Linked DNA regions of Alligator mississippiensis. The protein of the gene in region 2 purifies or fractionates together with the protein of the main gene of each other region. This does not show direct contact. Links are inferred from orthologs where the notes say so. Each region holds a gene or a part of one and is shown on either strand. Other genes may lie near its edges. The genes, in order: SH2D2A, LCK, UNC119 and KHDRBS1.

What was found.
Region 1: the proteins of LCK (region 2) and SH2D2A purify together in Homo sapiens (co-immunoprecipitation; 3 studies listed by IntAct, with this or other methods). This does not show direct contact. The link is inferred for Alligator mississippiensis from reciprocal best matches to the Homo sapiens genes LCK and SH2D2A.
Region 3: the proteins of LCK (region 2) and UNC119 purify together in Homo sapiens (affinity purification with western blotting; 3 studies listed by BioGRID and IntAct, with this or other methods). This does not show direct contact. The link is inferred for Alligator mississippiensis from reciprocal best matches to the Homo sapiens genes LCK and UNC119.
Region 4: the proteins of LCK (region 2) and KHDRBS1 purify together in Homo sapiens (affinity purification with western blotting; 5 studies listed by BioGRID and IntAct, with this or other methods). This does not show direct contact. The link is inferred for Alligator mississippiensis from reciprocal best matches to the Homo sapiens genes LCK and KHDRBS1.

What each region holds. Positions count from the first base shown.
Region 1 is NC_081838.1:16,650,711-16,658,437, reverse strand, and holds SH2D2A (SH2 domain-containing protein 2A), read right to left. Parts: upstream 2,939-7,727; coding exon 2,930-2,938; intron 2,870-2,929; coding exon 2,703-2,869; intron 2,280-2,702; coding exon 2,190-2,279; intron 2,026-2,189; coding exon 1,860-2,025; intron 1,411-1,859; coding exon 1,273-1,410; intron 1,196-1,272; coding exon 503-1,195; downstream 1-502. UniProt on the Homo sapiens protein: Could be a T-cell-specific adapter protein involved in the control of T-cell activation. May play a role in the CD4-p56-LCK-dependent signal transduction pathway. Could also play an important role in normal and pathological angiogenesis.
Region 2 is NC_081829.1:5,615,431-5,622,661, reverse strand, and holds the start of LCK (tyrosine-protein kinase Lck), read right to left. Parts: upstream 3,015-7,231; 5' UTR 2,674-3,014; intron 1-2,673. UniProt on the Homo sapiens protein: Non-receptor tyrosine-protein kinase that plays an essential role in the selection and maturation of developing T-cells in the thymus and in the function of mature T-cells. Plays a key role in T-cell antigen receptor (TCR)-linked signal transduction pathways.
Region 3 is NC_081837.1:1,020,654-1,028,371, forward strand, and holds the start of UNC119 (protein unc-119 homolog A), read right to left. Parts: upstream 3,013-7,718; 5' UTR 2,955-3,012; coding exon 2,768-2,954; intron 1-2,767. Other genes in the region: PIGS (GPI transamidase component PIG-S), read right to left, coding at 3,187-3,462, 3,930-4,140, 4,459-4,559, 5,009-5,154, 5,478-5,592, 5,672-5,814, 6,217-6,427, 6,928-7,019 and 1 more. UniProt on the Homo sapiens protein: Involved in synaptic functions in photoreceptor cells, the signal transduction in immune cells as a Src family kinase activator, endosome recycling, the uptake of bacteria and endocytosis, protein trafficking in sensory neurons and as lipid-binding chaperone with specificity for a diverse subset of myristoylated proteins.
Region 4 is NC_081829.1:5,791,967-5,799,403, reverse strand, and holds the start of KHDRBS1 (KH domain-containing, RNA-binding, signal transduction-associated protein 1), read left to right. Parts: upstream 1-4,432; 5' UTR 4,433-4,535; coding exon 4,536-4,866; intron 4,867-7,437. UniProt on the Homo sapiens protein: Recruited and tyrosine phosphorylated by several receptor systems, for example the T-cell, leptin and insulin receptors. Once phosphorylated, functions as an adapter protein in signal transduction cascades by binding to SH2 and SH3 domain-containing proteins.

The DNA.
Region 1 (7,727 bases), on a different chromosome or scaffold from region 2:
AAAGATTCAGCCCAGGAGCTCAGATCATGCCTATGGGCTTTGTGGCATAACACAGGCAACTGGGCATCCCCTGCCCCTGCTCTCGACTGATCAAACCTGTTCCTTCCCCACCCTGACTCCTGCCTCTCTCAGGAGCTGGGAGCAGCAGTGCTGGGGAGAGCCAGCATGGGCAGGGCTGCCTCAGGGCACAGGCTGGGGCTGGTTCTTCTGATCCCTGTCCCAGACAAAGGGATCGTCCATGGCACAGGCCCTGGAGGTGGGTGGGTAGGTTGGATGGAGGTAGGTCCACAGCTCCTACCTAGGCCTTGCAGCCTCCCGTTCCTGGGGACAGAGGTCTATCTCCTGGAAGCAGCTCGTAAACGTTCTCCAGCCCTTCCTGGCCCGTGGCGGGCATCGTGCCGCTCCAGATGGGCACCTTCCTGCTATAGACGGGGTCGTCGAACTCCAGCTGGGGGGGTGGCAGCACCTGGAGGGGACAGGGGGCACACGATGGAGGCTGGTTCTACTCCGTGCCTTTGCCTGGCTCTTGGTGGGGGTCAGAAGGGATCTGTCCCTGCCCTGGTGTCAGCAGGTAGGGTGTTGCACGGAGACCCCTGATGCCTGGGTTCTGCCCCACTCGGGGCTTCTCCTTTCCAGAGGGGCCAGGCCCCAGGTACCAGCGGTCCCTTCTCAGGGGGAGCAACTCGCCCCAGGTTTGAAGAGCATCTGCCCCCCTGGAACGCACCTGCAGCACTGGGCTGGACGGCCTTGAGGAGCCCCTGTCCCTGCTGGGAGCTGCCGGCAGCCGATGGCGCCTGGAGCCCTGGCTGGACACGCTGCGATGAAGCCGGCGGGGCAAGGGGAACGTCCGGGGCCGGCTGAGGCCAGGGGGCAGCGTGGAGGTCGTGAGCTGGACTTCCTGCACAACGTCCACCTCGGAGTAGATGTTCTCAGGGCCGAGGTCCTGCGGCGACCCCCGGCCCACGGCGTAGAAGGGGATGGGCTCATCAGGCTCATGGTAGATGCGGCGCTCGGGGGGCACGGGCCGCTCTGGGGGCACGGGCCCCTCGCGGGGCTCGGCATAGGTGTGGAAGCGCAGTAGCTGCTGGTACTTGGCCTCAGGAGCGGAGGGAGGGGTGGGGGGTGTTGTGTCCATCCAGGGGCTGCTGGGGACCCGAGTGGCCTTGGCAGGGAGCAGGGGGCCAGGACAGGCAGCCTGGGGAAGCAAAGATGCGGTGAGTCTGGGGCTGGAGAAACAGAACCGTGTTTGCCCCTCATCTGGTCCCAACTCACCTCTGGCGAGGAGCAGCCCTGGCTGGTGCCTCGGCGTTGCTTGTGCACGACGCTGTATGCTGGGCTCAATGCAGCATGGGGGAGCATTGCTGCCTCAGCCCCTGCCGGGATCCCGGTATCCACCGGCTCCTTGTCACTCTGCAGCAAAGTTTGGGAGAGGAGAAGGGAGAGCTGAGCAACAGCAGTGCTGCGAAGAGGGTGCAGAGCACAGGTCCAAAGCACAGGCCTGGGTGTCAGGAAACCTGGGGTCTACACCCCCCAGCATTGGGTGGAGAGTGTAAGAGTCAGGATGCCTGGGTTTTTTTCTCATCTCTGCCCTCCCCTCTCCCAGCTTGGGGTCATGTTCCCTGTAAAATGGGTGCAATCCTGCCCTGTTGTAGCTTGGGGAAGGGTAATGGGGCTATTTCTTTGCCTGCCTGTGATTTTGACTCTGTCTCTGCTGCCCATGCCCCTTTTGTGCGGGCTGGAGAATCTCCAGTGACGCTACAAGGCTTATGACACATGTGGCAGAAACAAGCCCCTGCTGCTGCCCTGGCAGTCTAGACGTGTCAGGGCAGGTGGGGGCAGCGTGGTAGGGCCCCTCTTACCCAGGCACAGGGCATGGTGAGGAGCTCGTAGTAGGGATGGATGGGGGCCGAGGCATAGTGTTGCAGCAGCTCTTGCAGCCTGGCGTGCGCACTATCCTCCCCCAGGATCACATAGTGCCCATCCTCCAGCTGGTCCAGGATGTAGTGCCGGCAGCGATCCCAGCCCCTGGGGAAACCGAGGCAGCGCGTGAGAGCCTGGCTGGGCTGGGGGTCACAGGTGAGAGCCTGGCTGGGCCAGGGTGATGGGCGCGTCTCTTGATCTGCCTCCTGGGGCCCTCATCCCAGCCAGGGGCAATCGGGGGCAGGCGCCAGGGACACCCAGGTGCTCACCTGTAGGACAGCACGAAGCCAACTGTGCTCTCGCTGAAGCGGATGAGGTAGCAGCCCAGCGGCTTGTCCTGCAGCAGCTGCTCGGACTCCCTGCGCAGAGAGGGAGAAGGACACGTGGGCACGTCTGAGCACATGGGAGCCTGGAGCACCCATGCTGCTCGGAGCCCGGGGCACCCGGTGCTTGGCCCAAAGCAGAGTTGAGGGCATCTCAAGTCAAGCCCAGCTTGAGAACAAGGGAAAAAACCCAGGTTTCCTGGCTCTGCCCACCCAACAACGCTCCCTCCCCAGAACTGGGAGAAACCCAGGCGTCCTGGCTCCCATGGTTTCTGCTCTGGTCCCCAGGGCAGCTAAGAAAACCCAGGTGTCTGGGCTCCCCTTCCCTCCTGCTCTACCGCTGGGCCCCACTGCTACTCCCGCCCCAGCGCTGTATCCCCGTGGGGGTGCAGGTCCGTGATGGTCCGGGGAATGCTATTCCCGAGGTGACCCCAGCTCCCAGCACCCCCCGCCCCTCACCTCCTGCTGAGGAAGCCGTGGAACCAGTCGGGGCGCTGGCCATCAGGAAGGACCCTGCTTGCCTGCGTCTGCTCAAACCAAGCCTGGGTGCTGGCCCGGAGCGCAGCCGCAGCTTCGCCGGAGCCTGGGACCAGCCAGGGTAGCCTAGCAGCTGAGGCAGAAGGGGTCTGCGGGGGGAGAAGGGAGAACCAAAGAGCCCTGCATGAGGATGGGGGGCTGCAACCCACTTTGTGCATGGGGGACTGCCCACCGCAGCTGCAGGGCAAGGGTTAAGGTTAGCAATAGGGTTAGGGAAGGGCAGAAAGAATTGCCCTGGTCCTGCAGCGTGGCTATTATCTACCTATAGCTGGCAGACAGGGTGCCAACACTGCACTCTGACCCCGTTCAAACCCTGCACAGCCCTGCCCTCCCCGGCCTGCGGCTCCCAACACCTACCTGGCTGGAAGGGGCTTGTTCCCTCTGGGAACTGGGGTGCAGCTGTCCCTGCTGGGGCCCAGCTGAGGCCGCCCTACGTTCCTCCAGGGCTGGGGCTGAGCCCTCAGATCTGCCCAGGCCATGGGGATGGAAGGTACTGAAGAGCAGGGGCTCTGGGGGCTCCAGGCCATCGGCTCCTGCACAGGGTAGAGAGATGCAGGATGAGGCCCTGCCTCGACACCCTGCCCTGGCTCCGACCCTCCCTTCAGCAGTAGGAGCAGGGGAAGCCCCCAGGGAGGGGCTGGGGGCGGAAGATGAGATCTGGTAAGGAGCTCGGGACCTGCAAAGAGGTCCGGGGATGCGGGGACCTGGACATGAGCCAACAAGGCGGCTGCAGCAATGGTGACTGTGCCAGGGGCATGCACAAGCGTGTATGTGGGTGCATGTGTGTGTGTAGAGGGGGTTGGCTCTCCCCAGCCATGTGACAGGAGCATGGTGCCCAGATTTGGGCCGGAGAGTGGATGCAGAAGCCCTGGCAGGGGTCCAGGGCAGCGCAGTGAGGCTGATAAGACGCCTGGGAATGCAGCTGGGCGTTGGCAGGGCAGAGAACGGGGTGCAGCCACGTCGCAGGCTGCCCCGGGGCCCTGATGCGGGGTTTGTGAGTGTAAAAGCAATGGGTTTTGTTTGCAATCGGGGCGCTCCTGGGTAGACTCTGGGGGAAATCTTCCCCCTCGCCCCAATACTTGAGCCTGAGGGCTGCTGGTTCCTGCGCGTGAGCTTGACATTTCTCCTTCCTGACCTGCCCTCCAGGCACTTGGCGATGGGGAAACTGAGGCCCAGGGACTGTTGTGCCTGGGGGGAGAGCCTTGAGCACAGGGGCGACTGCAGCTCATTCCTCTTCCCCAAACTCTGTCCTTCATCCCTGGAGAGGAGGGGACAGTCCCAAATGCTCAACCTGGAAGGCTCAAAGGTCTGGAGCTGCCTTTCAGCTCCCGCACAGGTTTCATGCGCCGCTGGGGGAAGGGATGGGATCCCCAGTGAACAGCCAGCCCCTGAGGACATCTGTTTCCCCGTAAAAGCCAGGAGGGCTGGAAAGACACTTCCCCAGGGGGAACAGTTGCATCTTCACCCTGGGGTTTGCTTGCAGCGCACTCAGCACCGCCCTGGAGCGGGCCCAAAGCAGAGGCCGCCTTATGCAACCAGGCCGGGGCCAGGTTTTGGTGGCGCGTAGATAAACTTCCTGTGCTGGTTGGTGCCCCAGATTCTTCGCCTGTGCTGAGAAAGTTTCAGCTGCCCTGGCTGCTCGGCTAGGGAGTGAGAGCGCGTGGATGGGGCCTGAGAGCTTGGGTGATGTCTCTTCAACCCCCCCAGGACATGGGGAAAGGCTGTGTGATAACGTGCAGCGCCTAGCACCGGAAAGACTGTGATCCTGGCGCAACGAGACCCAGGTGGGTATTTGAGGGGAGGTTGAACGGTTACAGAAGTGAGACAGGATAGGAAGCATCATTAACGATGCTTAGAAAACAAACCTGTTGAGACATGGGTGCCCCGGTGCTCTGCCCATGTCACCCTTCGCGTTCTGTTTTGTGCAACGCCAAAATAATGGAGCACAACAAAGCTCCTGACCTTGCTGTCTGATCCCTGATGATGCCCGCGATCTGGTCTCTGAGCCCAGGGGCAGAGCCTGACCCATTGCAGGGCTGACATGTAACGAGTGAGGTAGGTCTCAGCCCAAGTCCTTCCAGGCAGGGGTGTGTATTGCCCCCCTCAACAGCTGGATCCCTCCTGGGGCCAGCTCTGTAACAGGCCTGGGCTTCCTCCTACCCTCCTGGCAATGCTGGGGTGGTCCTGCCAGCTGGGGGGGGCACCCAGCAGCCCTCCACCCGCCCCTCCAGGCCCAGGAAGCTGTAGGATTTGAGGAGTCTACCCCCAAGCACCTTGCAAGCAGCCCTCGCTGCCTCCAGAGTCACCCCCCTCCCCCTCCGCCCCCCAAGCTGCTCCTACCTCTGTCAGGCCCTGGCTGGACGGCGAAGTCCATGCGTGCACCCAAGCCGGCTGGGTGGGCAATGCCAAGCCTGTGGCCCCCTCCCCGACCAGGCGCTGAGTGTGCCCCTGCCTGGCAGGAAGCTCGAAGGGCAGGAAGTGGCGAGCAAAGCCACAAGGCACGGGTGAGCAAGAGAGCATGACGTCACGGAAAAGCAGCCCGCAGCGGGGGAACACTCCCCGCCCCTATCTGGGGCAGGTGTCTGAGATGGGCCCGGCTCAGCCAGGTTCGGGGTGGCCCCCACATGCATGGGTATGAGGGGCGGCTGAAGGAGCCTGGGTCTTGCTGGCATCAGGCTGCTTTGGGGGGGGAGGGCACAAGGACCAGACCCCCCAGATCAGGGGCTTCCACAGCAGCACAGAGGCTGCACCCCTGCATGAGAGCTCTTCCACTGCCTCCTTGCATGCCCTTGGTCACATCACTTGTGTCACCAGGCTCTGGTGCCTCCAGGGGTGAAACGGGCAGGGGCATCTCAGCTCCTTGGAGCCAGCTGTGATCCCACTGAAGTAGGGACTCTCTGCTCTTGGGTGGGGGTAGACCCCCTTGCCATCGTACGGTGCTGGAGCAGGAGGTTGGGGCACAGGCCTGGGTGTCTTCTGTACTAGAGGGACATGGTGCCTAGCAGGTAGAGGCAGGTAATAAAGCCAGACAAGCTGCAACAGGACAGGCCGTGGGCACAGAGCAGGGCTGCGAGATGCAAAGGGCTTGGGACTTCCAACCTCGGCAGGTTTCCTGGGGCCACAGGGAAGGGGCCAGATCTCACAGACCAGCCTGGGTTTCCCAGGGCTCAGCCCAGCTCAGCAAGGCTGAGCCCAGTGCAAGGCTCACCAAGCTGTGTTTGCCCAGGGCTGGAGTGGCAACAGGAAGGGAGAAGTCACCAGGTGGGGAGGCCTGGGGCTCTTTGGTTACAGTGCCATTCACTGTTTGTTTTGGGGGGAGGAGGTTTCATTAATAGACTTTCTTTTCCAGGCTAAATCCCTTTCCGAATTAAGTTTGACTGAATAGAGCTCAATCGTTCCAGTCTGTGCAGCACTACCTCCAGCCAGTCCCTACCTCCCTGGGGCTTCAGATGCTCCCAAATCCATGGCAGGTACCTACATGCAAGCTCTGAGTCCGGAGGCTTTGGGGTCCAGCTGCCCCCTGGTCTCACTTGCCCTGAGCCAGAAGGAGCAAGCTGGAGGGAGAGCCCGAGAGCAACCCACCATCACCAGGAATTGTGTAGTTGAGATCCTGGCGTTGGAGGCTTTTGCAGGGGTGCCCGCCCATGGTGCAAGGGCCAGGTCTCCAAGTTATGCAAGGCTGAGAAGAAGCAGCTCTCCCCTGCCAGGTTGGTAAAACCACCCTCTCCCTCTACACATCCCAGATGTTGCACACTTAACTGCTTAGTTGTGCCCTTCTGTAAGATCAGCTACATGGATGTGAGCCTAAAGTCAGGGGCAGGGAGAGCCAGGGTGCGATCCAGCCTGGGCTTCTCCTTGGCTAGGGTGGGCAACCAAGCCAGGATTTCTGGGGTCTAGGTCCTGCTCTGGTTACAGGAGATCCAGACACCTGGGTTCACTCTGGACACTTGGGTTCACTCCGGACCTCTTGTGACTCCTCTCCCCAATTGCAAAGGGAGGATAGAGTTAATGTCAGGGCTGGGCATTTTTTTCCCCACAGATACACAGAAGTTTAGGGCCTGAAGGGACCTTGTGGCATCATCAGGCCCAGCCCCCCTGCTCTGGGCAGGAAAGACTCTTGGGGTGAAATAACCCCAGCAAGGTGTGCATCCAGTCTCCTTTTGAAGATCTCCAGGGTAGGTGCTTGCAGCACCCCCGCTGGGCGTCTATTCCAGAGTCTGATCACACCATCCATGAGGAAGCTTTTTCTTATATCCAGCCTGAAACCTTCTTCTAGGAGTTTATGACTATTGCTCCTGGTTTTCCCCTGGGCACTTTGGTGAATAGTTGTTTGCCTAGCCCCTGATGCTCTCCCCTGAGACATTTGTAAGCTACCACCAAATCCCCACAAAGTCTTGTCTTTTCTAGGCTGAACAGTCCCGTATCTGTCAGCCTCTCCTCACATGGTTTGCTCTTCAGGCCTCTAATCATACGAGTGGCTCTTCTCTGGACTCTCTCAAGCTTTTCCACCTCCTCCTTGAAGTGCAGCACCCAGAACTGGACGCAGTACTCCAGCTGCGGCCTCACCAATGCCAAGCAGAGTGGGAGCATAACTTCCTTAGCTTTGCTTGAGATGCATTGGTTGATGCATGCCAGAGTATTATTTGCTCTGCTAACTGGAGCATTACACTGGTGGCTCATATTCATTTTATGGGCTATTATGACTCCCAGGTCCCTTTCGGACATGGCACACCACTGAGCCTGGAAGTTTGTTGTGGATTTTTCCTCCCTAGATGGAGCACTTTTCACTCCTCAGTGTTGAACGGCATCTGGATCCGGTCTGCCCATCTAACTAATCTGTCTAGATCTGCCTGGACTGTTAGCCTATCCTGATGTGTGGCTGCACTTCCCCACTGCTTAGTGTCATATAGTTGAAATAATATATATATAATTATAGTTATAAATAGT
Region 2 (7,231 bases):
CAAAAGTGGGTTGCAACCCAAAAGTGGGTTGCAAGAATGTGTGAAAGGGTCATGAACAAACTTTAAAAATGGATTCTCCTTTATAGGAGAAGAAACCACGGCTTTTCCCTTGCAGGCTGACAGAGCTCCAGCCTGCAAGGGGCTGCTTGGGGCCCCCCATACCCACCCTCTACCCCACACACTGGGGGCCTGGAGTGGGGCAGCAGGTTGGGAGCGAGGGGCACTGGGTCAGGACTGGCCATCGATGTTTACAAGTGGGTCCTGGTACAGAAAAGGTGGAGAACCGCTGCTCTGGAGAAATGCAGGAGATGCTAGATCCTCATCTTGTAAAAGGCACCCCACGGACTACCGGAGAGCCAGGCAGATGCAACTTCTGTATCTCCCATTTAGCAAGAGAGGGGTGGAAAAATCGAAGAAATATCCACCCTTGTGGAAGAAAAGCAACTCCCTCAAACAGCATCCCCTAGAGATACAATCAAGCATTTGAAACATGACTGTGAGCGAAATGCAGATGATGCCACGCTTGGGGTGCCCCCCTTCCTATGAGAATCAGGAGTCGGGGCGGAGGGGGGGGGACGGGGACACGACTCTTTTTGTCTTTCTTGCTTAAGCCACAAAATAATTTCCACAGAGGAGCTGTATCACCTGATCAGCACCTGGGGCTACTTTGAAGTCTGTTTTGTTTCTCTCTGGTGACTGGCTTTGCCTGCATAACTGAAGTTTGGTGTCAGTTTGTGGGGGGGCGTGCATGCCTGCGTCTGTGTGTTTGCCTAGCTTCGGTCCCATGTACGTGCGGGTCCCCGTGGGTTTGCAGCTCTGCACAGTTGTCTGGGCGACTGTGTGTGCTCATCTGTCCGTGTTTGCCCTTGTTTCTTCTGGGTGTGTGTGCATCTCTGCTTGCCTCCGGGCGCATTTGTGCAACTGCATCGTTGGTTCTCCAGCCTGTTCGACTTGAGGCCCCCTTCAGAAAATGCCAGCTCTTAACTTGCACTCGTGTTTTTGACTGCAGAAAAATAAGGCAGCCATTTCTCTGCTGCAAAGAGCTTGGAAAGCCTGCAGCAGGGCAGGATGGGTTTGACACTGTGGATTCCTATCGGGAATGGCTGGGTTCGCCTTTGACCCGTGGGTAGGTGCTTGCACACTTAACAGCGCTAATATTGCAAAACACCCAAAAAGGATCTCCTGGTTGACAGTCACAGGGCTATGTGTTTATCTGAATGATGGCATCTGTCTTCGAATCCGTGTGCGTGTTTGCACTTCTATGCGTCTTCATGCCAAGCCCGGGTGAGACTTGGTGGGGAGCGGGAACACCTCTCTCCTTGGATCGGGCTGGGCCCCCTGGTTCAGGAGGAATGTGCTGGAGGTGGAGCATGGCAAGGCGAGAGAAACTATTTTCCCTTGAACATATGCCAGGGATGTCCAGTAATGTTGTGGTCCTCTCTCATCTGACCCACACCCCCGATCGAAGCATGCTGCAGTAGCCTTGCTTTGACCAAGGACAACAGCGCCCACATTTAAAAAGCAAACGCGGCAGTCAGTGTAGTCACTGCTCACCACAAAAGACAACCCTCAGCCTCGGACAGTACCGATTTGCCCACAGGAATGACCCCCGTGTCTCTCATATGACCAGTGAGGTCAGCCCCAAAAGATCCAGTTCCCAGAATATTTTGCAAGACCAGGGGGACCGGATAACAGTCTGAGCAGCCTCAGGCTCACAGCTGCCAAGCTACCCCGTCTATGGTCCCGACTCGAAATCTTGGATCCACACAGCTTGAATTTTGCCCCTTGGTCCCTTCTCTTATTTCTTGTGGCTTGGGGTCAGCAGAGAGGCAACTTCAAAGGGGGCAGCTTGGAGAACTGGACACAGCCTGGGTTTGCAGCTGCATTTGGGTTTGAACTCAGACAAGCAGGCAGTTCTGCACTGAGTCTGCATTTAAGAAGCTATAGACCACAATACCAGCCAGGGGTAATTCAGTGACCTTTCACTGCAGACACGGATTTGCCCTGCTCCTCACTTCCAAGACAAAACAGCCCCATACCAACCAGACCCTCCAGCCTGCTCCCAGCTTCAAGGCTGGCAGCTCAGGAACGGGGAGATCCAAGGCAGATTAGACAGAGCGCTTGACGTTTCAGGGCACAACTCCCAGCTTTCCTCCTCGCTTTGCCCTGGAAGTTGGGACTTTGGAAGCAGTGACTCACTAGACTCCTCACCCTCACTCCAGCTGGGGACAGTCCCTCTGGGGATCCCCTTAGAAAGCAGTTTTAGTAGGATTTGGGGAGGGCTGGCAGGGAGATGAGGGCTTGTGTTAGAGGCAGCAACTCAAGAACTCAAACAGCTCAACGGCAAACATGGGTCTTTCAGTCCAAAGGTCTTTCAAACAGGACCCCGTACCCCAACCGCGACCAGCCTAAGCAGCCAGACTCCTCTGTGTACTGGCCTGATACCATAGTGATGGACTCATTTCCCATTTTATAGTCTCACTTCACCCCCACCAAAAAGCAAGTCCTTCCCCAAAGATGTCGTTCTTCCCCAGAGGAACCATCGCTTCCCAGCCAGGGAAGAGCTGGCACAGACCCCAGTGCCACTCCGTGCCCGCTCATGACAGCAATCCCCAGATCCCAGCCCGAAGGCACAGCTCTTTTCACCCAACACGGCCCCAGCCCTTCCCTTACCTGCTTGCTGTGAGATGGAGCTGAGCTGCTTTTAGATCTCCATGGCCAGTGAGTGAAAGCACCTTCCCAGTCACATGCTAGTCTCCATCCTCGGGGTGTAGACCATGGATACAACCTCCCGGACAGCAGCCCAGCTTGTCCTCACATCAGGGAATGGCAGCAGCACGGTCTCGCTCGCTCTCGCACTCTGCCTTCCCTGATTTCCTGCCTTCTGCAATCTCATGAGCAAGCTCTAGAAGTTTGTTCTCAGCACTCGCCCGACCACAGCATGCTAGCGAGGGAGGTTTCCTGCCATCCGCAGGCCCGTCATTCTAAAGATGGAAGCTGCCGGTACAGAGGGGCACCGTCACTGCCTGGGTATCATCTCCCCACTGCCGACACAGGTGTTGGCTGTGACTCCTGCTGCCACCCACCACCCCGCAGGGAAGTCCAGTGAGAGACATGCAGCACCCGGCGTACTGCAGATGCTTTCGGCTGGTCTTGTAAAGAGAGGATGTTAAGAGTGCACATGTGGGGGAAGGTAGGAGTGTGGGGGTGAATTCTGGCCTACATCCTAATTAGGCGCCAAGTGATATGCTGCGCATATCAGGAGGGCAATGCAAAAGTTTAAAAGATCCAAGTTTGGGTGACTATGCCCTGATGCACACAAAACTGGAACTCTCTCCATGGCCCTGACATGGCCCCAGTCCCCGGCATCACTGAGGATAAGCAGCCCTGCAAGGTAAGAAGGTGCCATTTCCCCTCGGGAAACTGAGGCATAGGTGGGGGGCTAAGCAACATGACCAAGGTCACACAAGCCCCACGTGGCAGAGCAGGGAATTGACCCCGAGTCCCTGGATAGCTCCCTCACCACGGCGCTGGCCTTGCTCTCCTGTTAAAGGGGTCTCTTTATCTTTGCCACGAATCCAAGGTCCCAGCACAATGTCCAGCATAATGATGCCAATACTCTCAACAAGATCAAAGCCAGTCTGTCCCCCTACCCAAAACACACAATCCTAATGATTCTCCAGCCTGAATGGTCCAGTGCCCATACCCACCTTGGTTGACAAGGGGCAGCCTTTGGCATGCGTCCAGAATAAGACTTGAACTTGTGCCCCTGGAGCTGTAGCAGGACAGCCGAATCATTTTCCATGTCATGATCTCCCCCTACTCTGTGCTGTACCGCACAAGTGATAACCGTTACCAGCAGACAGAGCAAAATGCACCCCTGACTCACGTCCTGCACGGTGACTGGGTGATGTGCTAAGTACCAGGGCCTGAACACACCACCAAGAGCAGACCACAAGCAGCTGCAGCTTGGCTGCTAACTCAGCAGTTCTGCTTGGACTTTGGTAGACAAGGCCAAGGAGGGTGAAGGGTTCAGAGGTGTGAACATGTCCTGAAAGCCCAGTGTCAATAAGTGAGAGAGCCCTGTGCTTACCAAAAGCTTATCTCCAACTTAGTCTATAAGATGTAAATCTAGCCTGCCTTCTGTTGAGAAATGAAACAGAATTTCTCTTCCCCAGCAGTCCTCCATCATACCTCATCTTTCACCACTTGCACAAAGCCCCAAACTTTGCACACATGGTGCGAGAGAAAACCCACTGCCCTGCAATGCTTGCAGACTAAAAAGAAGGGGAAAAATAAAAGGTGGGAGTGGAAACAGGGGCACAGAAAAAGGAAGGAACATGGGCAGGGTCACACAGCCAGTCGGTGGCAGAGGCACCAGGACACGCATCTCCAGAATCGCCACCCAGAGAGCAAACATATGCCAGGCCGTGAGAGAGGCAGGTAATGAGCCACAGGGGAACTGAGCCAGCCTTCTCTGACAGAGAGCAAGGGCTTGGCTTTCTTCTTTCCTCTCCAGAGAGGGGCTGAGCAGCGAAGACATCGTCTTCAGAGGCACTCCATGTTACCTTTCCGAAGCCCTACGCTCTGCCAGTGCTGACAGCACGAGAACCACAAAGCTATTGTCTTGGCTTGTGAGATCAAATGCAAAGCCACAGGTACCAACAGCCAGCTCTGCAAGAAGGAAGGCAGGAAGTCAAGAGAATATGACACAGAGCAACAGGGGAGAGAGGCTCGACGGGGGGGCCACGACCTCCATACAGGGCGATATGCCCGGGCACATGTCAGGGGCATTTTGAACAACAAGGGCAACCGTAGGAGTGAAGCGCCTCCATCTTCCCCATAGCCCAGCTGCGATCTTTATGCCAGCAATTGTCCCACAGGCAGCAACGCGCGTATGGATGTTGCTCTAGCTTGGGCTCTGGCTAGCTGTCTTCGGAGAGACTTCTCCAGGGGGCTAGCGGAAAGGGCAGTTTGAGCAGGAGGCAATGATTAAAACACCCTCAATTCAGCACTTCCACCCAGCTGACCTAGCAACTTGGCATCCTGTCCAGACTCCTGCTCATGTACCTGCAGACCTGAATTCCTCTCCCAGTTTGACTGGATGTGGTTTCAGCTTCACTTCCTGTCCTAATGTTGCTCTGCTTCGTTAACATGCTGCTCTGACCCACCCCAAAGCAGGCTGTGTTTCAGTGGTAGGCAAAACAAGCCTCTTGCATGGCGTAAAAGTTTGCAAACCCGCTTTAGGATATTTCAGGACCAAAAAATAAATAAATACCATCAAAGCATCAATCAATCATTTTTATTGCTGTTATGGCAACTGTACAAAAAAAGACAGGTTCGCTTTGCGAAGGATATGTCAGGCTTTCAGCCTCTCTGCAACTGGAAAGCAGCGACAAAACCATCAGCACCCACTTCCCATCTGCCAGCACAGATCATTAAAAAAAAAATCTAGCATCCTCTTTTATCATCAAAAACACTGAAAAATGGCAAAAATATTGACTGCTTTTATGATAAAGCATCGGGGCGGGGAGGGACAGGGACTCAGTCCATTTTTCAAGGCAAAATAAGAACGCTTTTTTGTTTGAAAAAGGTCAATGGGATCTCAGTGTTGTGAAGCTCTGACAATCTTCCTGTATTTTCTTTGAAGGCTTGGAGCCAGAAGATCCTTAGCAGGCTTCTTCGCTGCACCAGCAGCAATTTGTTCTAACAGAAGCTGCGGGACTTAGGGCTGAAAATTTGCAGCCAGGGTTTCAGGGTTCAGCTCCTTCACTAAGGGTCTGAGCCGAGCAGGGGGCCAGGACACAGGGCCCCTGGATTCTCCTCCCAGCTCTGTCCCCAAGTTGCAGGTGTCTTGGAGCAGGCTGTACTACTTTCAACCCATGCCTCCATCAGCAGCAGCCTCCCTCTTTGGTCGATGGCCCTCAGCAGAGGCTGTGAGCTTCCACAGATCTGGCACCGTGCTCCAAGATCCGCGGCAAAGTGTCAAGTCAGGGTTCATCACTCTCAGCCAAAGGAACAAACGTTCCCTGGAAAAATCAGCTTCCCAAACAAGGGGTCAGGGTGGGGACTGCAAGCCCCTGCAGGGCTGAGGAAAAAAAACCCGAAGTCTCCCAGCTGCGGGTAAGTCATCACACAAGCCGGAGAGAACATGAAACACAGAAGCTGCCATGCATGTGGCCAAACAAAGGCACCTGCTTCGGTGGGGCTGTTCACCGGCTCCCCATAGAGCCGGCACCCCTCTCATCTGAGGCCTCAGCAAAACCAAATGGAAACAGCAGCGTGTAGCGGAAGCAAGCGACAAACCCAAGGTGCTCGCCGCCTTTTTCCTCCGCCATTACCAAGAAGCAGCGTGGAGGGGGAGGGGACTGGCCCACTCAGCGCAAGGCTGGGGGAATATGGATTAGATGGCTTGATCAGAAGTAATCCCCAGGCCGAGTCAGGCCAGCAGTAGGGGCTTCGACGTAGGTGTGTGGCACAGGGGAGGGAGGCCCCGTCTGTGCAAGCCTGGGATCAGACAAGTCTGGGGGCGGCAAGGAGGCCACTAGCACATGCGACACACAGAAGGCAAGCCGCCTTTGCACCGCCTTCTCTTCTTGCTGCATGGAAAGTTTGCTCATGCTTTTCAGCATCAGCAAGCAGCCTCCAGCAACGTGGCATGCGTCACTGCAGCCGCAGATGCTCCAGCAGCGATGCTCCCTCCCCTCCCATGACAGCATCACATGCTGCTGGGAACAGTTGGCTCGCCTTGTGCACGCCACATGGCTGCAGGGCTGCTCACCTTGTGCAGGCTCAGGGGTTATGGCAAATGCAGAGCTCTGTGCATCCTGGAGATGCTGCTCCATACAGCAGAGACCCCCCAGGAGCAGGGACTGAGGAGCGAGAGGGCAAAAGCCACCGCAGGGCAACAGGAGGCAGCCAATAGGCCAAATGTGATGGCAGTAGGCAGGGCTCAGCTCCCCTGCTGCCCGCCAGCCTCTGCAGCGCACATCCCTCCAGTTGCAAGGGATTGAGCTGAGGACTGAAGACAGAAGTGAGGCGAGTCCAACTTCCCCAGCTCCATCCATGCCTCAGGTCCCAGGCGATCAGGGCAGCCCTGGCCCAGTCTTGCCAGGTCTGGTTTCAAGCAAGCTGTTGCAGTATCGCCAACAAGGGACACTCAGCAAGGAGAGATGAGGCACCTCTGGGCAATAGGAGCAAGCAAGGCAGCAGGATGCCAGAGCCAGCAGCC
Region 3 (7,718 bases), on a different chromosome or scaffold from region 2:
TATTTAGGAGCTGGTGCCCCAGACATAAGCCAGGTCTCCGGCAAAGACAAGTGAAGATGAATCTGAGGAGCTGGCGATTAGGAGATTATCCGCTTGGAAGTTCTTGGGCGATGACCAGAAATAGCACGGATGTGCATCCGAGGGGCAGGCGGGTGGCGCACGGCAAAGGGCTTCCTGCCGCTCCAGCCCACAGCATGGCTCGTGGGGCCGGGCCAGCCCTGGGCAGCCCAGCATCGCTGCCTCGACCCCGACGGCATGGACTGTGGGTGGATGAGGGCTTGTAACAGGGCACCGTCCAACGCCGCTCACTGGGGCCTCACCCACCCTTGGGGTTAGTCTGGTCATGACCAAGTGCAGGGCTGGGCTTCCCTTGCCACACCTGGGGGCTGCCCAGTTGCAGGTGCCCGGGACCCTCGCAGATCAGCTTTAGTAGGTCAGGCAAAGACTTCTTCTAAGTCAGCAAGACCCCATCCCCTACACACCCATCGGCTCCACACCCGGCATGGCCAGGGAAGCCCACAGCCCAGGTCAGGACAGGTGCGGGGGGGATGCCTGGGTGCCAGCAATGTGGGCAGCGCACTGCCCCTGTCAGGCCTCAGTCAGGAGAGCCAGCAAGAGGCTGGCTACCTGCTCAGAAAGGGCTGTGAGGAGGCAGGCAGACAGACAGACGTCTCTGCCCTCCTGCTGGGCTGCTAACTCATCACAATCTGCCCCCAGCCCTGGTAATCCCCAGTTAATCAAGTGGTAAGGTTTTCCTCTCTTGGGCAGCAAGCGAAAGGGCCCAGCTACCAGCCAAGACAAGGCTGCAGCTGCCTTCTGCAGCACCCAGGCCAAAGCTGAGCCCGCCAGGCAGCCCCAGAACACGGGCATTGCCCCAGACGTGCCCCCTGGCACAGAGCAGGCAGCCACGGAGAGCTTCACGCTGAGAGGACACCGACAGCCAGGATAACTGCCATCATAAGCATATTAGGGGCACGCTAAGCAGAGCCCAGCTGGCTTCCCCGCCTCCTCGCTTGCGCTTGTGACCGGACGAGCTTCCATGCACTGGAAGCAAGTGCCCCTGTGCCACGTGGTTCACAGCTCCCAGGAGCCGGGCACTTGTGGGCTGTGCCAGCGACCCCCGTGGAAGAGGCAGCTTCTTCCACCTGCTTGGCTGATCTCCAGGGCAGCCAGTGCCCAGCACGCTGTGGGGAGCAGTGGCCAAGCAGCTGCTTCTCTTATGGAGGCTGCCTGCCCGCAGCTCTCCAGCCCCCACCCCAATCCTTGCACCCAGTCAAGGCCCCTGGGAACCAGGTCTCTCCACCCTGGTCTGACACCCAGGTCTCTCCACCCTGGTGCCCGGCAAACGCGCGGACAGGCCTGGCTAGTGGAGGAGTCAGCCCCACAGAGTAGCAAACACCCGCGGAGCACCGTGAACCCACCGCAGGCTCTGGTAATGGCGTGGTCCTTCACGGACGGCAAGGCTTCACTCGCCTCAGCGGAAAGGAGTCATGGGCGAGCCGGGGCAAGTGGCGCAGCTACCACCAATGGTCTGACCTGGGTGCCACCTTCCTCAGCCCGGCTGCAGGGTTTAAGCCAACAGCTAATGCTGAGCAGGCCCCTGTGCAAGGCAAAGTACCTTGCCCCGCGGGGCCTGCCGTGGGCTTCTCTTGGTGCTGGACAGGATGAGAAGAGCCCGGCTCAATCCAGCCTGGGGCAGCCTGTGCCCCGGGCACTGCCCATCCTGCAAGGCTCTCCACCTCCACTACGCCAGAGACAGAGCAGCTGGGGCAGCCCCAGGCAGAGCGAACGTTCAGACCGATGCGTGCCCGACGGTGGCTCTTTGCAGGTGCTATGGAGTGCTTTCCCCGCAAGCACCAAGCATGCAACCAACCAAGCAGCACCCGCGCGCTGTCCCCAGCAGCTGTGGTGCAAGGCTGGCTGCCACCGGACTATGCAAACACGGGCTAACGAGGCACGGAGCGTGCTGCCTGCGGTTCGCTATGCCAGCCGGGCGCCTCGACCAGCACCAACTGCTCCTGAGCAGGCCTGGACCGAGCCTCGCTGCTCGAAGCACCACGGCCCAGAGGACGGGCAGGCCCGGGGGCACTCAGCTGCGATCCCACGCTATCGGAGGCCACGTGGGTCTCGCTGCAAAGCCGGTGCGGGCACCCCACCGGCTACGGCGCCTTCTGCAGGACCGGGCAGGGCTGCGAGCTGTCCTCTGCAGCAGTGCTCCTCCTCCACATCCCCGGGCCTGTCCAGGGAGCACGCCCGGCTCCGAGCGTTTGCCGAGCCGAGGCCCACGGCCCAGCTCTCCCAGCGCAGCTGCGAGGATGCTAGACGAGGCCCGGAGCAGAGCAGCAGGGCCCGCGCAGACGTCCCCCGACCAGAAGCACCGTGCCGGGGGGGGGGCCCAAAAGGCCTAGTTCAGTGCCTGTTGCCACCGCCGGGTCACAGCCCACGCGAGACCCTGCACCCTGGGGGCGGCCACGCGCCCCTCGCCAGCGCGTCCTGCCGCCGGGGCACGGGGCAAACCCCCGGCGCAGGAGCCTGGGCGCCGCGCCCGCCGCCCCTGCCCCCGGGGCCTGCCGACGGGCGGCTCCCGCGGTCCCGGGCGGAGGCCGGGCCCCGGGCACGAGGCCTGCTCGGCGGCCCCACGGGAGCGGCTCGGCCGGGCGGCTCCCTGCCCCGCAGCGGAACAAAGCCGCGCGCCCGCAGGAAGGCGCCTCCCCGCGCCCCGGCCCGCCTCTGGGGCGGCGGGCACCGCGGAGCATGCCGCGCTCACCCGTGGTGACCTTCTGCAGCCCCAGCACGTCCTCGGGGCCGATGAGCGCCTTGCGCAGCAGCTCGTCCTCGGTGCAGGCGGGCGCCGCCGCCCCGGCCCCGCTGCTCCGCTTCACCTTCATGGCCCCGGCCCCGCCGCCCCGCTCCCTGCCGCAGCCCGTGTCGGCGCGGAGGGCGGGCTCGCTCATCCCCCGCGCGCACTAAGCGCCTTTGCCCGCAAATCCCCCGCGCCCCGGCTCCGGCCGCCGCCGCCGCTCCCTCGCGGCCCGGCTCCGCCCGCCCGGGAGGAGCCTCCGCGCCCGCCCGCCCGCAGCAAGGACACGCACGGCCCCGTCCGGCTTCAACTTGTATTGGTGGGAGGCGCAGGGCCCGCCCGCGAGCCCCGCCGCCAGCACCCGCCCCCGGCCCCCCTGTTGCGCCTCAGTCCGTCTTGGTGGGCTCCTTCTTGCCCCGCCTGGCCTCCCGCAGGATCTTGGCCAAGGAGAGCAGGAGCGGCACGGCCATGGGCAGGAAGAGCGGGATGTAGATGGCGAACTTCTGGTCGTCGGGGAAGTACAGCAGATGCAGCAGCGAGGGGTCGAAGAAGGCCCGCTCCGAGGAGGTGACCGCCTCCTTGCTGGCCTGGAAGGCAGCGCCCAGGCGCCCCGCGGCCAGCTCCTCCAGCGCCTGCTGGACGGAGGCCACGGCACGGTACACCTGCGTGGGAGCACACCCTCAGTGCCCCGGTCCCCACCGTGCCTCGGCCCTCTCCCAGCTCCCCGGGGCCCCGGCCCAGAGCGAGCTGGCACCCCCACGGCTCCCAGCCCCCACGAGCCCAGGGGTACGGGGCAGGCACAGCGAGCACCTCTGCCAGGAACATGCTTGCTTTTAAAACCGATGCCAGCAGGGACTGGGGGCTGAGCAGGGGGTCTCCCGTCCCCACTGAAACCACCTAGGGATTCAGGGCGAGGGGGCAGGGGGAATAGGATGCTACAGAGGCACGCAGCCGCAGGACAGGGGCGTCTGTCACTCCAGCTGGACCCAACACCTGTGCCTGCTCCAGCCCTCTGGTTCAGAGCAGCTATTGCCAGCCCCTCCAGCACAACCTCCCCCGGGCACGTGTGCGGAAGGCACCCATGGCAGCACCAGGCTTCCCCAGGGCCCTGCTCCGTCATGACGCCCACCTCAGAGGCAACGTCGTCCTTAATGACAATGTTCCCAATCTTGTCCAGCAGCTCAGCCAGGGAGGTCAGGGTGGTGGACACGGTGGCCACGTTCTCCACCGTCCGGGCCCACAGCAGGCGGTCCAGCTCCCAGGCCGCCAGCCCTGCGTTCCCAGGGTTTTCCAGCAGGAACTCCCCTGGGAGCGGTGCCCGGGAAATCCCGAAGAGCAGCCTGGAAGCAGAGGGGGCAGATCAGGGGAGGCCTCAGCCCTTGGCCGTAGTCACAGAGACAGGGCACAAGCATGATACCAGCTCTTCTCTGCCTCTCCTGCATCTGGACGTGCTGGAAGAAGGGGCAGGACTGAGCCCTGGTGAACCACCAGGTTGCAGGGAATGGCTCATCTGTGACCTGCTGGGGCCAGAAAGGGCCCGGAGCCTCCTCCCCTCAGCACCAGTGGGGCATGTCAGCCTTGCGCTGCCCGGCGCGTGCTCCCGGAAGGCCTGATCTGTGTGCCCAGCCCCGGGAGGACGGGCTGGGAAGTGTCCTCACCGCAGCTGGGCCAGGAAGACCTCCATCACTCGCACCATGTCCACATCGACCCGCAGTGGGAGCGGGGCCTCGTCTGCAGCCGGGTGCTTGACATTGTACACCTGCCAAGACAGCACACGGGACAGCTCAGCACGGGCACCCTCCCAACCTAGGGCCGGCAGAGCCCTCTGCAGCCAGCACCACAGTCTTGCCTGGGAGATGGCCAGGGACTCTTTAGCCCCGTCTCATCTCAGACTGTGTGCCCGAGGAAGAGGCAAGGATCCATCAGCGAGCAGAACGAACCCGCAGGTGCAGGAAGCTGCACCTATGTATTGCTATGCCCAGGCAGGTGAAGCTGCTGGGATGTTCCCAGTTCTCCTGCGCTGTGGCGTGGACGGCCCCACATGCAACCCACAGCCAGGCTCATCGCCCCAAAGCCCCAACAACACGTGCAGCAAGCCAGGGAGATGCTGCCCCTGGGCAGGCCCCATGGTTCAGCCAGGAGCCACAGCCCTCGCGCTGGTACGGGACAGGCTCTGCTCCAACTAGAGTCCAAAGCTCTGGTCCTTACCATGATCCCGCCCCAGCGGGGGCTGTGGAAGGCGTTGGTCCTCACCAAGGCCCCATCCCGGTCCTGGATGTAGAGCGGGGAATGGGCTCGCTCTGGCACGTACAGCAGGAAATTCAGCACCGGGAAGAGCGAGGCAGCACTGGAGCCTGGAGAGGGACAGCGAGAGCCTCAGTGCTACTGGGGACAGGTGCCAACAGGGACCGGGCCAGCCACTCACAGGGGCTCTGCCTCTGCTGGGGCAGTCAGAGAGGCCAGGCCAGGCCTGACCCGCTCACACGCACCTCTCATCCATGCCGGCACCCTGAGCACAGATTCGCATGGGCCCCAAGCTGAGCGGACTGTGCTGGTCTCATCCTCATGCCCCCGGGGACCTGCCCACCAAAGGACCAGCGGCCACAGCTTCACAGCCTGTGTCTGGTAGAACTGGGCTGGGTGCAGAAGTGAAGCAGGGAGGCTGCGTGGCACTTACCCAGCCTGGCCTCCACGGGGTTGATGACGTGCGGGAGGCTGTGCGCACTCAGAAGGAAGCTGGAGGAGTTCCTGTCAAAGCGGGGCGTGACCCCCAGCATCGCGTAGTACAGGATCTGCAGGACAGGAGCACAGAGGAGTGACTCCGGACACTCCCCACTGCCCAGGCGCCCACCCCTCTCACCCAGCCCTCACCTGCGAGTCCACAGTGAAGTTGGCTACAAAGCTCAGCTTGTCCAGGAAGGGCTGGACATAGCCACGGACGGCAGCCTCGATGTCCCAGCGCACGTCGTGGGACTTGGGGTCGGGGTTCAGCAGGCTGAAGGTGATTTCATACCCTGGGCGGGGCACAGCACGGAGGTTGCTACTGTGGCCCCTGCGATGGGGACGGGCAAGGCACGTCCCAGGCATTCGGGGCACAGCAATGCCATGCAGCTCATGTCACACAGTGACCGCTGGCCCAGGGCCCCTGTGCCACCTACCCAGCCTCAGCACACCCCAAAGTGCCACCCTGTGCAAACCCTGAGCTGCAGCTCACCCAGTACCAAGAGGGGTAACATTTGGGCCTCAACAACTGCCCTGTGCCACAGGCAAAGACGACAGTACCGTCAGTACCACAGCCCCCGTGGGGGAGGGAATAGCCGGGCAAGCTTGGCACAGGATTCCCATGGGTGAGCAGTGCCCTGACTGCATGGGAAGGCATCATCCCACCCGGCCAGGCAGGCAGGCACAGCCCCTACCCAGGCTGGACTTGAAGGGGCGCCGGGTGTCTAAGCCGAGGTTGCCCAGGGGCACACGGTCCGACAGAGCAGCAGCGATGGAGTCGGGGGTGAAGGACATGGTCTGTGCGATATGCCGCACCCGGGCATTCACCGCAGTCAGGACATCCCCCGCGGCTGGTGGGCCCCTCACCACGGCGCTGCGGTGCTTCCCGATGTACACGCTGACCCCCTGCAGACAAGACCGGGCAGGGCAGCGAGAGCCAGACGTGGCAGAACGTGCCCACTCCACCCATTCCAGGGCAAGGCCCAGCCCATGGGGACGCCAGGATGACGGGGCTGGGAGAGCTGCAGGGACCCCTGCCCCAGCCCCTCAGGCTTGTCCCTGGGACAGGGATGGGGACAGAGCCTGTCCCGACAGTGAACAGCCAGGAGGGAAGGGGCAGAGAAACCCGTGAGGCAGACGAACAGCGTCCCTGCCTGCAGCAGTCGGGGAGGTCTTGCAGCTGCACCTAACCCAGGCTCGGCTGCTTCCCACGCCGCAGCCACCCTTGGGCAGGGTCAGAAGCAAGGGGATCTCGCTGGACAAGCTCCCACCCACTGCAGTCACGCCAGGGGCACCCACGAGCTGCTCCGGGGAGGGCAGCCCGTGATGGGACGCCAGGCACAGAGGGTCGGTCCCGAGCAAGATGGGCAGCTGGATGGCACTCCCAGCAGCAGGAGAGGCTGTACCTGTGGCAGGAGAGACGAGGCCTCTGGGATGATGTAGATGGTCAGTGAGCCCAGCGAGCCGCCCTGCAGTGGCAGCAGTGCCGCATCGGCCTCTGGAGAAGACGAGGACATCGGTCACCCCGGTGCTGGTGAACCCAAGGCAGGGCATCCCCACCACCAGCTCTTACAGACAGAGACCTCCGCACTGCCCCCACCCCAGGGTCCCAGCTTCTCCCCTCCCTGGGGCCGCCCAGCCCTGCCCGGCCCCTGCAGGTGGGGGAGAGGGAAGGGTAGCGTGCATCCCCCAGGGCCCTGGGGTAAGAGCTGCATCCCTCCGCATACAGCAACTTCCCAGGCTGCCCCACTCGCCCCCAGGGCACAGCCAGCCACCAGGACCATGCCCTGGGCTGCCCCGTCCCCACACCTTGCACTGTGCCCAGGGCCAAGGCTGCCTCCTCCTGGCCCGTGGCGCTCCGGTAAGCGGTCTCATAGCGGGCGGCGACGCTGGTCCTCACTGCGGGGAAGGGAGAGCGCGAGTGAGGCCACTGGACCCAGCCACGGGCTCCCCGGCCTCACCCCCACGCTGCGAGCCCTGCTGGCCAACAGTGCCAGCCCCGCTCCTGGAGATGCCCCCGCGTGCGCGGCTCCGCGCGGCCTGGCTGCGAGGATCCCCCAGGCTGGGGGTGGCCAGGAGAGCGGCGGTCGGTCAGGAGTCCCTGCCCTCTCCCCCCAGCGCCTGCTCTCACCAGGGCTGCAGCGAGACCCGCTCCAGCCTTGGCACAGAGGCACGAAGCGCCCCCGAGCACGGCAGC
Region 4 (7,437 bases), about 180 kb from region 2:
CTGGGCCCTGCCCCACTGCCAGCTGCACGGCCTGTCCGTGGAACGTGCCTCCAGGTTTGGGGATGTACCTGCAGGGACACCCATTGCTCCTCTCCTGCAGTTCAAGCACACAAAATACCGATCTCATGGAAGAGACGGACAGTGCCAGCCAGAGGGGCAGTAGGACCAAGAAAATGAAGAAAGGGCCGTGAAAGCCATGAGATATGTGGATATGACTGCGTCCATGAGAATCTAAAGCAGCGGTTCTCAACCTTTTTAGACCCCAGGCACCCCTCGTTAAGACTGGAGGCCCCCCTTGGAAAGTGCCAGTTCTTAATTTTCACTCATTTGTTTGACTCCAGCTCTCCTGTTGCAAAGAACTCGGAAATACCACAACAGGGACACAATGTTTTTAACACTATGGATGCCTATTTGAAATCTCAGGATTTATCCTGTGAATCATGTTTGCACCCATAACTGTGCTAACAGTGTGTGGCACCCTGAGGCACCGCTGAAAGGATTTCAGGGCAACCCAGGGTGCCGCAACACCCTGGTCGAGCATCCCTGATCTAAAGTTACTTTTTGTTGCATCAGTCCATGGCAATGAAGGCCTAGCTTTATTTTATAATTTTGCCAGCTTGGCAGCACTCCTTCCACATTTGTGGTTGGAGTCATTTTTTTTTCCAGACTGTCTTGGACAAATATAACAAAAGCAATAGGAAGGGAGAGAGAAAAGGAGAAGGAAACAAGCAGGGTGGGAAAGCTAATAGGAAACCAGGCTATTTGTATGAGAGGTGGTGGGTTGGGGAAGAGATGCACTCGTGACCTCAGAACCCCATTCAGCCCCAGCAGATGAGCTGAGCTCATTGTATCTCTGCTGCAGATCTCCAGGAGCAGTTCCCAAAAAAACTGGGTCTGACAGGATGTCTTTGAAAAATACTCCACTAGGACCAGGCCCAGAGAAAACGTCTAACTTAGGTCTTGTTTTGCTTCTGCAGTTTTGCTCAGATGCTGGGGACCAGGAGCGGTATCAAACCTGGAGATGTTTGCACCTCAAGGATTGGGAAGAGCTCCTGGCCAGGGTGCTTTGTAAAGACAAGATTTGACAGAGGGAAGAGGGGCTGATTCACAGGTGAGTTCAGGCACCTCGTAGCTGCAGCGAGTGGGGAGGATGTGTGCAGGAGCAGGTTGTGATCATCCCAGTCAGGGTGTGAGTTAGTAATAGGTCCTCAGGAAGCTCTTGATGTGTTGCCTTCCCCAATACAAGAAATAAGGGCAGGTAAGGAATTGCTCTGCACGTAAGTTCTCCACTGCCTAACTTGGGACAGTTTCAGTCCACTTTCTAGCATGTAGCTAGGTGGAGAATCTGGCCCAGAGGGAGGAGCACAGAAAGATGGAGAGCGACTCAGAGAAATGAAGACAACTGAGTGCAGGCAGCAAGGCTCAGGCTTCTGCTGTCTGAGCCCCAGAGGTTTCAGAAGATGTAATAGAAGCAGGCACAGAAGCTGTGCAGAAAGGAAAACCAGCAATGCTGACCGTGGAGAGGGGAGGCTGGATGCACTGGGACAGTTTCTAATCCTCTCTTGTGGTATTGAAATAGAAGGTAGAAATCCTGGGGCAACGATGACCCTTTAGCAGGAGCTGGGATGGCACGGTGGGTCCTAAACAGCCCGTGTGGTGCAAGCTAGTTCTAGGTCTTTGGGAACCTTATGCCAGTTCAAGATCACCTGTGACAGACCTCTGCTGCGTTGTGCCCCATGTGTACACCCCATATGTGCAGGTGTGACTGGGCAGCTGGGGTGGCTAGGCAGCACGAGACAGGTGAGAAATGCAATCAGGGAAAGGCAGGCAGGGAGAAAGGGTTAATTAATAGGGAGCTGGGTGAAGTGCGTGAGAAAAACAATCTCATGGATGCGAGACTGAAGACAAGGGAGAGAGCAACTGAATCCAGGAGAGTGAGAGCAGAAAAGAGCAAAGGGCAGCAAAAGAAAGCCAGGCAGTGCTAGGCATCCAAAACTATGCCATGCTCCTAGCTATAAGAAGCTGCCCTGCTGCATTGAGGTTGTGTGAGTAATAGTAGCTTAGGTGCATGGATGGGACTGTACATTTACTTGTATTGTACAAACATTAACTACTGAGTGAAGGGTTTGTCCAAACAGCACATTCAGTAAAGATCCATGCGCACATTGCTGATTGTAGCCAAGTGAGAGAAGTACAGAGATCTGGGATCTGTCACCTGCTGGCATCAAAGTTTCTCCTTCATGGGCTCTTTCCCCAGCTTCTTCTATTCCAGGGGTGCTCAACCCCTAGCCTGCGAGCTAAATCCAGCCCATAGAGCTGTGACGTCCTGCCCACGGGGATCTCTGCAGGGTGGAAAAAACTGGCAGCTGGGGAGCGAGGAAGCTCCATGCAGTGGGATCCAGCCTTGCCCAGGCCATTGCCGCACAGCAGGATCAGGGACAGGCCTGCCCCTTGTCTATCCGGATCTGGCTGGGCGGCTCCCTGCCCCCTCCATGCGTCCAGGCAGAGGCCACTCCACCCCATCGGCATCCGGATCATGGCTGGGCTGCTCTCCACTTCCACCCCCGATGTGTCTGGATCAGAACCAAGTTGCTCTCCACCCACCCCTCACCACATCCTGATCGGGACAGCTCCATTCAGCGCCCCCACACACATCCAGATGGGGACCAAGCTGCTCCCCAACCCCCTGTGGATGGATCTGGGTCAGGCTGCACAGTCCCCTGGGCTAAATGGAGTTGCTCCAGCAACCCCACGTTCTGGCTGGGTCGAGCCCACCAGCCTGATCCAGCCTGCGGCCAGATATGGCACTGCCCATCTAGTCTGTGGGGTGAAAAGATTGGGCACCACTCATCTACTCCATGCGTTAGAGACCTGGTTGAAATATAGTTCAGTCCCAGCTACACCAACAAGACTCCTACCATGAAGTCAGTCCTGCTATCAACAGAAGTCATATTGCATACAGGCAGAGTCTGAACCCAAAAGACAAGTGCAGGCTCTGGGTCGGGGGGGGGTTGTCAATTAAGACATTCGGAGATCAAGAAACTTGCCTTCCTCAAATGAGCTTTCTATATGCTGCCATCACAGACTGATGGAAATAAAAATGCAGAAGACTCAGCCTCCCTGCTTTAGGACATAAACGGATCTATGCGTATACTATTTGTATACACTCTGGGACAATGAGATGAATCTGTCACTTACAGCAGCGGTTCCCAATCTGGTACGGGTACCACCACCGGTACGCAGAGAACCTGTCAGCGGCACGTGTTACCCATGGGCAACTGGTGCCGCCTGATTCAGGGGGACACATGCGAGCGCGGCCTGTCAGGGGGCGCACCCCATATGCATCGCGACTAGTATTAACAGATGTATTATCATTACTTTATATGACAAAAATTTGCTGGTGGCACTTAAGGTTGCGTTGTTTTAAAATGATGGTGCGCTGTCAGAGCTTGGGAACTGCCGACTTATAGGATAATTACTGCTGATGTTGGCTTGGCAGCCGAGGGCCATGCCCTCGCCGGTGGTTGAAGGAACGTGTCCGCTAATGACCACGCAGGGGCCTTCCAAGTGGAGGTCGGTCCTGCAGAGCACCCTTTGGGGGGCTTTCTGGGTGTCATCAAGATTTGCACCAAGGGATCCCCATGCTAACCCAGCCCCCCAGGGCTCCTGCGCAGTGCACACACGGGGTGGGGGCGGATTTAGAACCAGTGCACCCAGGTGCTTCGTGTCGCAGTATCAGCCATAGGAGGCTTGCGTGTCAAATGTGCTGCAGGCTATCTGGCAGGGTCCGGATGGGCTCCCAGGCAAGCAAGGCCAGCCTGCTAGTGCTCAGGGAGGGGAGCATGAGGCCAGGGCTGGGCTGCTTTGCTCCAAAGATCCCAAGGTCTAACCCTTACCCCCGGCCCCAACTCAGGGCTCCATCTCTCCCGCCACACCATGCTGGCCAGGCCCAAGCCAGGGAAGGACCCGCGCATGCGCAGAGCGGCAGCCAGGCCATGCCCTGGGCAGGCAGAAGACGCACACGTGCGTCGAACTCCTGCAAGGGACGGGGGGCGGGGAAGAGGGAGGAACTGTAACGCGCATGCGTTGCGATCGCTCCCGGACGCTTTGTTCGCCCCAAGGCTGCGATTGCGCGTGCGCAATGCAGCCCCTCCCCGCGTGCTAGGCTTCTACGCATGCGCACTGGGCCCCCTCGGTACTTTGTTCTCGGCGGAACGAGGCAGGGCCGCTGCGCCTCTGCGCAGGCGCAATGGAAGGGGGCGCTCCTTTCTTTTTTGTTTCCTCCCGCTCGTTGCGCATGCGCACTCGGAGGCCCTGCGCAGCGCGTCTCAGCCGGCGCTTTGTTCTCGGCAGGCGGCCGGCGCCGCGCAGGCGCGGCGGGAGGGCGGCGCAGGCGCAGTGCGTCCGGAGCGGCGACGGCGGCGGAGCGGGAGCGAGCGGCGAGCGCTTCCGGCCCCTCACTTCCGGTCCCGGCCGCCGCGGCCCTCGGTGTGGCAACGCTGTCCGCCCCGCGCCGCCCGCCGCGCTCCGCGCCCATGCAGCGCCGCGACGACCCCGCCGCCCGCCTGGGCCGGCCCCCGGGCCCCGGCGCCCGGCCGCAGGCAGCGCAGCCCCCGCGCCGGCCGCCCCGCGGCGGGGCCCGCGGCGCCGCCGCCGCCCACCCGCCGGGCTCGCAGCCGCCGCCGCTGCTGCCGCCCGCCGCCACCGCCGGCGCCTCGCAGGCGCCCGCCGCCGCGCCCACCCCGCTGCTGCCCGGCGCCGCCGCCGTCAAGATGGAGCCCGAGAACAAGTACCTGCCCGAGCTCATGGCCGAGAAGGACAGCCTCGACCCGTCCTTCACGCACGCCATGCAGCTCCTCACGGCAGGTACGGCCGCGGCGGGGGGGAGGGGCGGCCCTGCTCCCGTCCCCGTCCCGTCGGTCGGCTGCCATGGCAACAGCGCGGGGGGAGGGGGTGGCAGCCCCCCCGCCGTGTATGAAAACCCAACAGCATTAGGAACCCCCCTCCCCAACCCTACAGTGGGTGGGTGGGTGAAAGGCAGGCGGAGAAGTTTCTCGGGGCACGGCCCCCTCCCAAAACCGACCCGCGGCGAGACGGGGAACGGCTGCCTTTGTTCTGCGCGGTTGCGGCTGCGCGCCCGCTCGGCTGCCCCAGGGCAAGCCCCTGGGGGGGGGTGGTAAGCAGCCGGCGGAAAAGGATTTTGCTTTACATCTATTAATGAAAACGGCGCGCGCTCCTTGCGAGCTGCCCGATGACGCCCCGGGTCCTTTCAGGCGATGATGCCGGCGCTGGGGCGGGGATGGGTGTGTGACATCGCCTGCCCGCCGACTCCAGGGGAGTTGCTGCAGCGTATCCGGCATCGCCGGCGTACGTCTGATTCCCGTATCGAATAATTTTATAACCTTGTTTTGATCCCGACTTAACTGCTTTTGCTCCCCGCCGTCTTCAGCCGCCTGATGTGCAGCCGCGCTCTGCTTGCTCCGTGCGGCGAAGGAGATGTTAGGAAGCTCCTATTCTTCCAGGCAGGTCGGTGTCCTTGGCCCGCTCGGCAAAGATCCGGGTACCGAGCGCCGCGCCGAGGTTTTGTATCGGACGTTTCCTTAGTCCGAACAACCTGGCTTGTGAATTATATCGGAGCGCTTGCCTCTGCAGTTGATCATCGCTTATAATTTAAGAATCCTTTTTTATTTTTCCTGTGCTGCAAAATCAGTTTGCTTATTTGGATTGCCTTGTAATGTGTTGTCTCGTGTGGCGTTTAGGATGGCGTTAGTCAAATTTCGAGGTCAGATGAGCAAAGGATTCTTGATGCAGCCGTTAAAAAATGAATTTTACAAAATGAATTTATAATTCTTCTTGTGGCCTCCTTCTCCCCTGCCCCCACTGATTTTTGGTCACTCGGCATATCCTGCTTCATCAAAGGGTGCTGTATAACATCGGTGTTGAAAAAGTCGTTAACCTTAATTTGGAATTTCAGGTTGGGGCTAAAGAGACTGAAAAATGTAAATGCGGCCAAAGCAGGTTTCTGAGGCAAAAGGGTTTTTCAAGCAGACTCTTAAAATAGCTGTGGTTACTGAACTTGAGCTGTATCTGTGCACTCTAAATTGGAGCCTTACAGCTGGCGGTTTTCAGACAATGCATGTTGCGCATGTTCCTGCCTCTGCTTGCATTTCCCAGGAGTTCCCCTTGGAAGTTTTGTCTTGAAATGAGAACTGTTGGCTCAAGAGCAATATTCTGCAGTACTCTAAAATGCACGTGCAAACTCCAGCTTTACTTTAAAAATACGATCAAGGAAATCAGCATTGATTTAAAGGACAGATGAAAGGGCTATAATGTAGTTGGTTTCCTGATCAATGGACAAGAGAGAGCTGTTTTCTAGGTCACTTGAACATGGGGATCCTGATGCACAGCTTCATCATGAGAGCTGTGTGTGTTTGAGCCCTTTTTCTGACTTTATGATCCAGGATTATGGGTTATCAGAGCAGTGAGTATGACGAAGGGATCACTAGAGCAGTGTCATAGCAGTTTAGGGATGTCTGAGCAACTGGAAACAATGCAAAGCGTTAAAACAATGAGGAATATAGAAGGCAATAAAAAGTTAACTGAAGAGGGGGGTGGAAAGGAGGAGGGGTCACAGCTTTGCAGGGGCAGGTGTTAAGGAGTAACGTCTCTGTTGATGCCCTTAAAAAAGTCCCCACTAATACTGTCCTAGTCCCTGCACTGTTCTGTATCCTCTTCCCAGTTCCTCAGCCTGTAGGTGGGTCCCATGCTGATGGCTGTTGTTCTGTGTGAAGGAGACTGGTTTTGACATTAGGAGAAATAAAGGGAACATGGTTTAGGAGCAGTAAACAGGATGTCTCAAGCCAGCTTTCCCTATCTGCCACCTCCAGCTCTGTGGCAGTAGTTACCCCATAATTGGATGGAATAACTACTGTCAAGGACCAGACGGGGAGTAGGTCAGTTGGAATGAAGTGCATGGGAGTGATGAAAAGTTCATAGTGAAAGGGATGGCCCAAAACCTTTGTTAATGTAGAGGTAAGTTTGCCTGGTACTGCCTCTTGCCCTTCCAGAACGTGGGTAGTAGTGGCTAAATGTAAAACTTGGAGAACCAGGAAGGAAAGGACTTAAGGTACACCCCCCCCAAAAAAACAAAAACACAGCTTAACTCTCCTGTAAAACATCAATACCGTGTCCATGCTTTACTCTCATAGATGGTAGTGAGCACATGAGCACTAATGATGCAAATTCAGCATGTGTTCTTTAAGACAAATCTTGGGTTTGGGTCAGGTGTAATGAATGGGAGCAGCCTAGGCTCCATTGCAGATGTGGCTGTTGCCCATCACTAAGCCCTGGAGACTGTAGAAACATATGTCTCTGTGCAGCTGACAGTCCCCATGGCAAGAAGGCATCCTTGTGTACTTCTGCAGAAATAGCCTGCCA